Coturnix japonica: one gene and its partner. The protein of the gene in region 1 purifies or fractionates together with the protein of each later gene. This does not show direct contact. Links are inferred from orthologs where the notes say so. Each region holds a gene or a part of one and is shown on either strand. Other genes may lie near its edges.

Evidence for each region. Proteins that work in one complex are often made in the same cells at the same time.
Region 2: the proteins of LCK (region 1) and UNC119 purify together in Homo sapiens (affinity purification with western blotting; 3 studies listed by BioGRID and IntAct, with this or other methods). This does not show direct contact. The link is inferred for Coturnix japonica from reciprocal best matches to the Homo sapiens genes LCK and UNC119.

Annotation. Positions count from the first base shown.
Region 1 is NC_029538.1:4,512,216-4,517,303, forward strand, and holds the end of LCK (tyrosine-protein kinase Lck), read right to left. Parts: coding exon 5,010-5,088; intron 4,904-5,009; coding exon 4,822-4,903; intron 4,747-4,821; coding exon 4,656-4,746; intron 4,568-4,655; coding exon 4,469-4,567; intron 4,380-4,468; coding exon 4,276-4,379; intron 4,194-4,275; coding exon 4,044-4,193; intron 3,897-4,043; coding exon 3,744-3,896; intron 3,481-3,743; coding exon 3,301-3,480; intron 2,966-3,300; coding exon 2,889-2,965; intron 2,804-2,888; coding exon 2,650-2,803; intron 2,388-2,649; coding exon 2,256-2,387; intron 1,958-2,255; coding exon 1,755-1,957; 3' UTR 982-1,754; downstream 1-981. UniProt on the Homo sapiens protein: Non-receptor tyrosine-protein kinase that plays an essential role in the selection and maturation of developing T-cells in the thymus and in the function of mature T-cells. Plays a key role in T-cell antigen receptor (TCR)-linked signal transduction pathways.
Region 2 is NC_029534.1:4,517,462-4,523,130, reverse strand, and holds the start of UNC119 (protein unc-119 homolog A), read left to right. Parts: upstream 1-2,265; 5' UTR 2,266-2,321; coding exon 2,322-2,439; intron 2,440-5,669. UniProt on the Homo sapiens protein: Involved in synaptic functions in photoreceptor cells, the signal transduction in immune cells as a Src family kinase activator, endosome recycling, the uptake of bacteria and endocytosis, protein trafficking in sensory neurons and as lipid-binding chaperone with specificity for a diverse subset of myristoylated proteins.

The sequences.
Region 1 (5,088 bases):
AGCACCCTGCCGCTTCCTGCCAGCACTCTGTGCTTAAACTGGGCCTGACTGAGCCCAGGGCTCCAGCCCCAAACTGCACTTTGAGATGCTGGGGCTCCACAGGCAGCTTGTGTGCTGAATTCAGGCAGTTCTGCTGCTCTGATCCCTTCCTCCTCCTCACCCTGCCTGAAGACTCAGGGCCACCACCACAGGATGCAATCCTACTGCTCATGTTTGCTTCTGAGAAGAAATGAGAGCCCTCACTACCTGCCCAACACAGAAAGCAGTTTAGAAGAGCTCACTTTATTGTTTGAGTGTGGAACACATCCACTTACCGGGGGAAAAAAGAAAAGGAATAAAGTTTTTATTTAACTTCACAGACTGCAAACTAGAATGAAATAAAGAACCACACAATACCTCCTGCACAAAGCAATCCCAGAGCCTAACAAAAACCATCCATCACTGAGGTCACCCTCCAAAGGGGGGGGGGGGGGGGGCTGTGAACGTGTCCAGTGGGACGAGCTGTGCTGCCAGCGGGGAAAGAGCTGTAACACCCCGCTACCCCCAACCCAGTGGGAAGATTAAAAGGCCAGAAAGCAGCTTCCTGAAGGGCAGGACAGCCCCAATGCTGCTGTGCACAGTGCCCCTGTTCCACCCCACCTCCATGGGGGCACCGCTGACCCAGCACAGCTCCTTCCTCCCCTCGCAGCCCCCCCCATCTCTCAGAGCAGCCCCTGCTCCCATCCCAGCCCCACAGCCCACACACACACACACTTCTTGGAACCCCCAGCTCCCCCCAACTCCCTCACCCCAATCCCCCCCCCCAACCCTGGACCCGGATCCCCCCACCCCCCGATCTCTGCCCCCCCCCCCCATCTCCGGCCCAGCACAGCCCCCAGACCCCCCCCACAGCACTTCCCCCATAGCACGGACCCCCCCATAACCCCCCTCAGAACCCCCATAACCCCCCCACTCCCCCTCACCAACTCCCCCCCCTCACCTATCATAGTAGTTAAGCCCACACTTTCCGTTTGCTCCCCTGTGTCAGCGCCATCTTCCCGTCTCCCCTCGGCCGCAGACCCCACCGCCGCGCAGCGCAACGCAACCCGCCCCACCGGCCGGAGCTCCCACCAGCCCCGCCCCCAGCTTCCAGGCGACCAATCGAAAAGCAGCGTTCCACCCCTTTCAGCTCAACGACCAATGAGGAGTCGAGGCGGCGGCGAGGCGGAACCAGCAGGTTCGGCTGCGCGGCGGGATGCACCACCGCGGGGCGCGGGGCCAGGTGGGCGGGGCGGAACCATTCCGAGGGGAGGGGGGAGCAGGTGGGGACGAACCATTCCTGGGGTGCGGGGGGGGCACGGAGCGGGGCCTGGAGCCCATGGCGGCCTGGGCCTGGTGGGGCTGCGGCCTGTGCTGGGTCCATGTGCTCACCCCGATGGGGGCAGGAGAGGCTGGCAAGGCCTGGTTGGCAGCGACCCCAGCCCCATAGGCCTCAGGCCTGTGGGTTCCATGTGAGGGGCACCATGGGTTCTAACTGGGGCCTGGCCTCTGGTGCAGCCCAGCACACAAGGGGCTGCCCCATGCTGGGGGCTGTGGAGCAAGGCAGGGGGGACATCCATAGCACAGTGTGATACAGCCACAGTGCACAGCAGTCATGGCACTGCAGTTATCTGTCACCATTCGGGGCAAAGCTCTTTGGATGCGCACAGTGTGCACTGCTGGGTGCTGCTCATGGGGTCTGTGGTCCCAGCGTGCCCATAGCACAACATGGGGCCTCACGGCTGCTGCTGGTATTGCCCCTCGGTGGCGGTGAAGAAGTCCTCCAGCACACTCTTCATGTACTCGAACGTGGGCCGCTCCTCGGGCTGCTCCTTCCAGCACTGCTGCATCAGTTCGTACAGCTCCCGCGGGCAGTTGTCGGGCTGTGGCATGCGGTAACCGCGCTCCAGGTTCTGGATCACCTCGGGGTTGGTCATCCCTGCAATGGGACAATGGTGCTCAATGTGCAGCAGCACATCCTGCAGGGAGCACCCCACCTTTGGGAACCCCATAGGAATCATTCCTCTGCCCCTAGAGTCTAAACCCCCCCCCCCAAGTAATGTGGGTTTTGGGCCTGGCTGGCCACGTGCAATGAGAAGAGCTCAGAACCATGGCAGGCTGGCAGGCAGCGGGGCCAGGCGGAGCTGTGTGCGTGCAGCAGTGCATGCACACATGGCTGGGTGTGCGCCTGCGTGTGTGCGAGCACCACTGCCCTGCAGCTGCCGGGAAATCCTGACCTGGATACGGGATCCGGCCGTAGGTAACGATCTCGGTGAGCAGGATGCCGAAGGACCAGACATCTGACTTGATGGTGAACGTGCCGTAATTAATGGCCTCCGGTGCCGTCCACTTAATGGGGAATTTAGCCCCTGAAAAACAGCAGGGGGGGAAGAATGAGCATTAGGGGACATCCCTCTGTTGAACCTGATATAACAGCACAGCCAGCCTTTGTCCCTGCTGCTCGCTGGGAAGGAGCTGGGTTTGGTGCAGTGTGCCTGTTCCTGCTGCAGCCACCAGGTAGGGCTGTGACCCCCAGCAGCAGGGCTGGGTGGGCTCTGGCAGCCCCCCCCCCGGCTGTGTGCAGTGCTGTGGGGTGATGGGGCACACGGGCTGGCAGCAGGATGGGCGCACCTTCCCGTGCTGTGTACTCGTTGTCCTCAATGAGGCGCGCCAGCCCAAAGTCAGCGATTTTGCAGCACAGAGCCTCCGACACGAGGATGTTGGCAGCCCGCAGGTCACGGTGGATGTAGTTCTTGGCTTCGATGAAGGCCATGCCTTCAGCAATCTGCAGATCAAATAATCATAACAATCACAATTCAGGTGGAGCAGGAAAGCCCCGGCAGCCCCCGCCATGGCCCTGCGCCCCTCACCTGTGCAGCCATGTCCAGCAGTTTGTTGATGCTGAGCTTGATGCCCTCTGAGGTCTTGAGGAAATCCACCAGGCTGCCTGCAGTGAAGGCAGCAAGTCTCAGGGGTAACACCCTGCATGGGGCTGGGGGCTCACAGACCACAGAGGGGGCAGGAAATCACACTGCCTGCCCCACTGGGGCTGACCCCAAGGTCTCAGTGCCGTGGTCATGTATCACTACTGCAGGCAGACACTGGCACAGGCCAATGGAAGTGGTGGGGTCACCATCCCTGGAAGTGCTCAAGAAACAGGGAGATGAGGCAGTGAGGGACGTGGTTAGTGGGTATGATGGGCACAGGTTGGGGTTGGACTCAGTTGTCTTAGAGGTATTCTCTAGCCTGAATGATTCAGTTATTCTACCCGGGTGCCCTCACCCTTCTCCATGTACTCTGTGATGATGTAGATGGGCTCCTTGGTCACCACGGCGTAGAGCCGCACCAGCCGCGGGTGCTGCAGGTTCTTCATCAGGTTGGCCTCTGCCAGGAAGGCGCTGGGGGACATGCTGCCCTGCTTCAGGTTCTTGATGGCTACCTTGGTGTGGCCATTGTAGAAGCCTGCGGGGAGATGGGGCAGCATGTGATGGAAGAGAAGGACCCACAGTGAGCACGTATGGGGGCAGGTGGCAGTAACGCGGTGGGGTGGAGGAGGCAGGGAGGGGGCTGCACCTATCTGCCTACAGCATCCCAACCTAAAACTGCATGAGGAAGATCCTTTTAAAAGGGAAAGTTGCACAGGACGTGTGCTGGACCCGAGGATGCTGCGGGTCTGGGCAGTGCCCTCACCCAGGAGGAAGCACCCTGCTTTCACCCTGACTTACCCATCCAGACTTCTCCAAACTGCCCACTGCCAAGCTTCTTCACAAGTTTCAGAGATTCCCGTGGGATCTCCCACTCATCCTGCCACCACGGCTTCTGCGGCTTCTGCGTCCTGCAGGGTTTGCCGAGGCGGGTGCACAGCCCATCCGAGCTGCCTGCAGCACAGGGGGGGCAGAGCTGGTGTCAGTGTGTGTGGGGAGCACGGCATGAACTGCACCTGGGTGCAGGTAGCGGGGTGTCCTCCCACCCCATCCCACCCCACATCCATCCTTTGTGCAGGACCAGCTGCTGACAGCACGTACTCGAGTAATACTCCACCAGCTCGTGCAGGCTGCTGAAGGTGACCCGGGGAGAGATGTAGTACCCCCCGTTGTCCATGTTGCGAATCTTGTAGTGCTTCACTGTCTCACCCTGGTTCTGGTCGAAGTCCCTCACTGACAGTGAGTAGGAGCCTGGGGAAGGTGCACAGGGTTGCTGTGTCGCTGCTCTCCTCGCACTGCAGAGCAGGAGGAGCTGTGGGGCTGGCACTGATACCTTTGGAGGTCTCGCTCTCCCGGATGAGGAAGGAGCCGTGTGTGTTGCCTGATGCCAGCAGCTGCCGCTCCGCATCCTTGCGGCTGAGGTTCTTGAAGAACCACCTGAGGACAAGGGGCAGGGTGAGGCTGGGGGCTCTCATATCTCCCTGCTGCTCTGGCACGGCTCCGTGCAGCCCCTCGGCCCCACTCACGGCTCTGGCTCCAGGCTGTTCACCATGGCCACGAAGTTGTGGGGGATCAAACCCTCCTGACCCGTGGTGAGCGACTGTGCCTTCCACCACTCCCCGCTCCTGCAAGGACACAGCCCTGTGAGCCCCTCTGAGCCGGGCCCCCTGGCTGGGGGACACGGGGACATGGGGACAGTCAGCGCTCACTCACTGTTCCAGGACACGCAGCTTCTCCCCCTGCTTAAGTCCCAGGTCCCCATCATGGGTGGGTTCGTAGTCATATAGGGCCACCACGAGCTTGTCTGGGGAGAGCACAGGGTTGGGATGGAGGCGGCCATGGGGTACACCCAGCAGCCCCCCCCGTGGCCGGGCTGTACCTTGCAGTGGGGAGCACGGCGGAGACATGGCCTCGTAGGACACCAGGGGATCCCGCACCTCAGAGCCATTGCGGATGAGCTGCTGTGAGGGAGCAGGGGGTCCCATGAATGCAGGCCCCATGTCCCCTTGTGCCACCAAGGGCTCAGCCATCCCACACCACCCCGGCTGTCCTGTGGCTGCCCCTCACCTGGCGCTTGCTGTCGGGGTCAATGGGGTAGTTGCAGTGCTCGCAGATGTCAATGTTCTCAATCCAGTCCTCATCATAG
Region 2 (5,669 bases), on another chromosome or scaffold:
CAGGTGAGGGCTGAGGGAGGTGATGGGGAGAGCCCAGCCCTGACTCTGCTACATGCCCTGGGATGTTCTTTGCCAGCAGCATCTGTGTTGTGTCCCTGCAGATCTTGTACTATGCTGTTCTTGGAGTAACTCCACGCTTTGACAAGGAATCCTCCAGCTTCATCCTGAGTGCACACAGCCTCCCACATGTCATCAACCCTGTGGAGGCCCGGCTGGGTGAGCATCACACCTGACTCTGCTCTAGTGGGATCAGGCTGTGCTGAAGTGGGGACAGCTGTGCCTACACATGTGCCCCTTCCCTTCCTACAGCAGCTTTCTACCCCACCTGATTCAGGATATACAGATCCTGAAGTCTGCTGGGCTGAGTGTTTGAGGTTTGCAGCTTAAGGCTGTGTTCACTCTTTGTCCCTCTGGGCCAGGTGTGTTCATTGACTCAGTTCTGCTATAGGTTCCAGTGCTGCCTCGCTCTACCCTGTGCTGAACTTCTTGCTGTATGTGCCCGAGCGCTCCCACTCCCCACTCTACATCCAGGATAAGGATGGAGCCCCAGTGGCTACCAATGCCTTCCACAGCCCCCGCTGGGGTGGCATCATGGTACGGGGCCATGGTGTTAGCAGCTTAACCTCCACACCAGGCTCTGGCTGTGCCTCACTGACGTGCTTTCCTGCAGATTTACAACGTTGAAGTCCCTGCTTCCCCCCAAACCTCCCTCCCACTGCACGTGGATGTGGACATGGTGAGAGTGATGGAGGTTTTCCTGGCCCAGCTCCGGTGAGGACTCGCTCTTCCCTCCCCAGGTCCCACATGTGCATTGATGGGGTCAGAGCCCAATGACTCCATGTTGGAGCCCACCAGCTCGGCCCCTCTGTGGACTGTGGGAGATTGAGGGTGACTTTTTGTGCTGACCACCAACCTACAGCACTGTTGTGCACTGTGCATCCTGCTGCAGGCTGGGACCTTCCCATCTGTTCCCAGGTTATTATTTGGGATCTCTCGGGAGGAGCTGCCCCCTGAATTCCTGGTGGAGAGCCCAGGGAATGAAGGAGTGGCCGATTGGGAGCTGGACCGCCTGCTTTGGGCCCATACATTGGAGAATATTGCCACTGTGTCCACCACCTTGACCTCACTGGCGCAGCTGCTGGACCAGATCAGTAACATCGTCATCAAAGACGACGTCGCCTCCGAGGTACGACTGGTACAGCCTGATGTGGGGAGTGGAGGGGTCAGGAGCTGCTGGCCCCATGCAGAGCAGTGGGGCACTGCCCAGGAACGAGGCCCCTTAGCTTTGCTTCTCTGGTGCTTCCTGGTTGAGGACTGACTGCTGTGCTGTTCCCATGCAGGTATACCGAGCGGTGGCTGCAGTGCAGGATGCCGTGGCAGAGCTGGCTGAAGGCCGCCTGCATTCAGCTTTCCAGGCCAGCAAGGAAGCTGTCACCTGCTCGGAGCGGGCGTTCTTTGACCCTTCTCTTCTCCATCTTCTTTACTTCCCGGATGATCAGAAATTTGCCATCTATATCCCTCTTTTCCTGCCCATGGCTGTCCCAATCCTCCTCTCCCTGGGTAAGATGCTCCGAGAAGCCAGGCAGAGCAAGAAGGAGCCCACCAAGATGGACTGAGCCCATATACGGTGCCTTGCCTTGGGGCTGGGACCTCATAGAGTGCATTGCATCACGGTGCAGGCAGGTGCTCACAGAGTCTTGCACCCTCCACTCAGAACTGCTGCTTTACCCCCCTCTTTATTGAGACTTGAGGGGAGGGAGGGTGACCTGCATGCACCCCACAGCCCCGTGCTGTGTTCATGTGTAAATAAAGAGCTGCCCTGCCCAATCCTGCCCTGTTGTGCTGTGGGGGCTGTGTGAATCTCTCCCACTCTCTGGGCTTTGGCCACCTCTTGCTTTGGACTGAGTCCCGTCTTAAAGGTACGTAGCCCATATAGCACCAAGTGGGGGTGGGGAAGGGGGTTGGTGGGGTTCAGCTGTTGGTGGGCAGTTATGAATGGGGTCTGTGAGCGTTGGTTTAGAGACACATTACTGGGGTCGAGCTTTTCCCTTTGGCACATTAACAGGGGAGCTCTCGTATTGGGGGAGCCCTTTTGGGGTCGTACGGGGGAAACAAGCACGTTCATCCCGATGCTGTCGGGATGCGATGAGGGGCTTTGGGAGCGATGCCGGGCGGTGCTGCCGGCGGCGCTGGGCTGTACCGTGCGGGGGGCGGGCCGTGCAGGGGGCGGCGCTGCCCCTCCCGGTGCGGCGGGGCCGGCAGCGCTGAGCGGGGCCGCTCATAGCGGAGGTAGAGGAGGAGGAGGAGGAGGCGGAGGGGCCATGAAGGTGAAGAAGAGCGGCGGGGCCGGGGGGGCGGCAGCGCGGACCGAGGAGGAGCTGGGACGGAAAGCGCTTATCGGGCCCGACGACGTGCTGGGGCTGCAGCGGGTCACCAGCGGTACGGGGCCGGGGGGGGGCACCGCGGTGATGTCGGGTGAGGGATGGGGCGGCAATTTGGGTGGGATGGGACACCCAGCTTGGGGAGGGGGTGCTTCCATTGCGGAGTGGGACCCCCACTGCAAGCCGGGCTGGACGTGGGATGCTGCTCATTGTGCCCGTCCTATGGGTGGGCCAGGCTGAACCCCACAGCTGCGGGGGGAAGAGAGGGATGGAGGGGTTCGGGATGGGGTCACAGATCCAATGGGAGGAGTGTTGTAACCATCCTGCAGCCTTCCCAATAGGTTTCCCCTTTTCCACCCCTATAGTATTGCTGCGGTCTTGAGAGCATCCTGTGGGGCTGGAGGGGCTGTTGTGCTCTGCTGGGATTGCAGCGTGCTGGGCTGGGAGATGGCACATGCTCCAGGCCAACCTGGCTGTGGTAGTGTCCTCCTATCCACCCCCCAAAGAGCCTTTCTATACCCCCGTGTGTGTTGTGTCTCTGCAGGGGAGGAGGGGGCAATGATGGGTGGCTGTGCTTGGAGCAGGAGCGATGCTGCAGGCAGGGCTGTGCCATGAGAAGCCCCAGAAAGAAGGGATGCGGTTGTGGGTATTGGGGGCTGAGCAGCACAGGGATGGGTGAAAGGAAGGAGGGGAGGAAGCCCTGCAGATAGTGCTGGTCTGGGGGGTCTGTTGTGTCTCTGTTTCCCTGCTGAGATGCTGGGCTGTGACTCACTGCCCAGGCCCAGCAATCAGAGCAGCAGGCACTGGAGCGTGCTGCCAGCGCGCTTGGAAGAGCAGCAGTTGGATGGTGAGTCCCAGCGATGGCTGCGCTCAGTGCTTTGCTTCTTGGGAGCCCACGTGGCCCTGCATGCAGCTGTGCCCTCTTTGGGGGGCTGCAGGCACGTGGCCACCCCCTGCCCTTGCTCATGGGGCACGCAGACCTCATGTGGATTCAACTCTGGGCATCCTGGCCTTGTTGCTGCTATTTGCTCTTGTGTGCAGGAAGGCTGAGCTGATCGCCCCATGGGCAGCAGAGCTGCTCTCCTGCCTCTTCTTGCACTCAGGCAGTGTCTTACTCTGCTTCTGCTCAAGCTTACGGTGGAGGTGTGAAGTTGTGATCCAAAGGGACCTGTGTGCCATCCTATCTCTGGTGTATAGGTCCCTGTAGGTTTGTATGGAAGCCCAGATACAACTCCTTCCTCATTCTTTCTCCTCGCAGCTTGGTGTGTACAGCATGCAGCCTTGGTGCCCGTAGTTAGGGCAGTGTCTGGGGTGGAGCCTTTGCCTGGCTGGAATTTGGAGGGAGGATATATGGGGTAGAGGGCATGGGGAATGCAATGCTCCTTGGACCATGAGAAAGATCAGCACGTAATTCCTCCTTTTAACATCAGGAGAATAAGAGGAGCTGGCAAGGACTTTGTGGTATCATGGTCATGTATGGCTTTTATAGGGTGTTACAGTGGTGATATGTGTTGGGATGCACTAAAAGGACCATCAGAGGTTGTTGGATGGAGAGACACGGGGTTAAAACTTCTCCCACTCTTCCACTTTTCCCTTCTTAGTAAAGCTCTCCTCTTAAAACTACTTGAATGAACTCTTCCCATTGCAAACCTTAGTGCCTGTACCACCAAGTCATCCCAACTTATGACCACAGCCCTTTGTATCCCTCTGACCCCTGTTTTGATGCCCAGATCCAGGTGCTCCAGCCCACGTGAAGCTGACACAGGAGCTGATGGTTGGGAATTGCAGCAGTGCCACAAACATCCCTCCCAGTTCCAGATAACTCATTTTTATCCAAACTTCGAGGCCAATACCGCAGCAGCTCTCACTATTGAACCCATTCTACTGCTCATGGCTCTCCTCCTGATGTCTTTTTAATAAGCTTAAAGGGGGAGCGTGCAAGCAGTGCTGCGTATCTGTGCCGTGTCCTTCCAGTGTCACATCCTACATGATGCTAAGGTCAAACCTGATGGACCCAGGGGTGCTGCCCTGGTGCATGTGGGTCTTTTGTAGGGCTGGGTTTAGGTGTAAAGCAAAAGGCCCGTTTCCTTTGCAATTAGCAGGATTTGTTACTTGCTCATCCAACTGTGGTTACAAAAAGAGGAAAACCTTGTGACGCGATTAACTGGGGATTAGCAAAGGGAGCAGGGCAGAGCTCAGTTCAAATTGCAATTAATTACTGCAGCAGCAGGAGGATCAGAGCGGTGTGTCTGCAATTATTGGGGTGTGCATCTGCCGACGTCCTGCCTTGTGGGGCAGGGAGAGGAGCCGAGCACTGTCCCCGATACCTTCGACCAGGCTGAATGTTTGCTAGGTCACGCTGTGCTGCTCCCACGTTGCCTGCAGGCGAGGTTAATTCCAGCACAGCTTTGATTTCTTTGTCTGGCTTTGGGATGGGAGCCATGGGTGGTCAGCAGGAGGATGGCATAACAGCATTTGCAGTGCCGTCCCCTATTGCCACGTGACGATGCCAGTTGTCCAACTGATGCATAACCAAGGGCAAGCTTCAGGTTGAGAGCACAGCACTGGGCACCTGCACGGTTTGCCTGTGCTGCTGGGATAAGGCTTATCTTAAGTTTTACTATTCTAGGTTTCATCCTAAGGGCTCCTTTTGATGCCAGCAAACCGAGAGGTTGGATAAATGATTGATGACATACTTGGAAACACTTACAAAACAAAGCCTAAAAATAAGGAAGGCGTGCTTAATCATTTCTGAAAGTAATCTCTTCCGTGAGCTGTCATTTAGGATCCCTCAGAGGCAGCAGCTTTACCCTGCCTGGCAGAGGGGCCCGGTGGTCAGGGCAGGCACCTGGTGGGTGCGTTGCATTACAGCTGAGCTGTGTTAGCATGAAGCCAATGCGTGCAGATCAGTCTGCAGAGCTCCTCCTGAAGCCACGACTTTCCCTTCCTTCCCCATTTAACCGAGACCACTCGTTACATCAGGAGCTGTGATTAGCTGAGGGTGTCGATGCGGGGGGGTGTTAATGAATCCCTGTCTGGGGCTGTGATGTGTGGAAGTGTTTTGATAGGCAGATTTCCTGCAGCAGAGCCATACTGCAGAGCTGTGTCAAGCTGCTGTCACCGTGACTTCTTCCCTCAGCAGCACGACAGACGCTGCTATGAACCTTTTCAAGGCTTGCTGACGGCTCCCAGCTTGAAGTGCTGTGCTGAGGAAGGGCTTTGTTAGCACTCTCACTCTGCAAGATGGGCTGCGAGATCTCCAGGGGGGCACACATGGTGTATGCATCA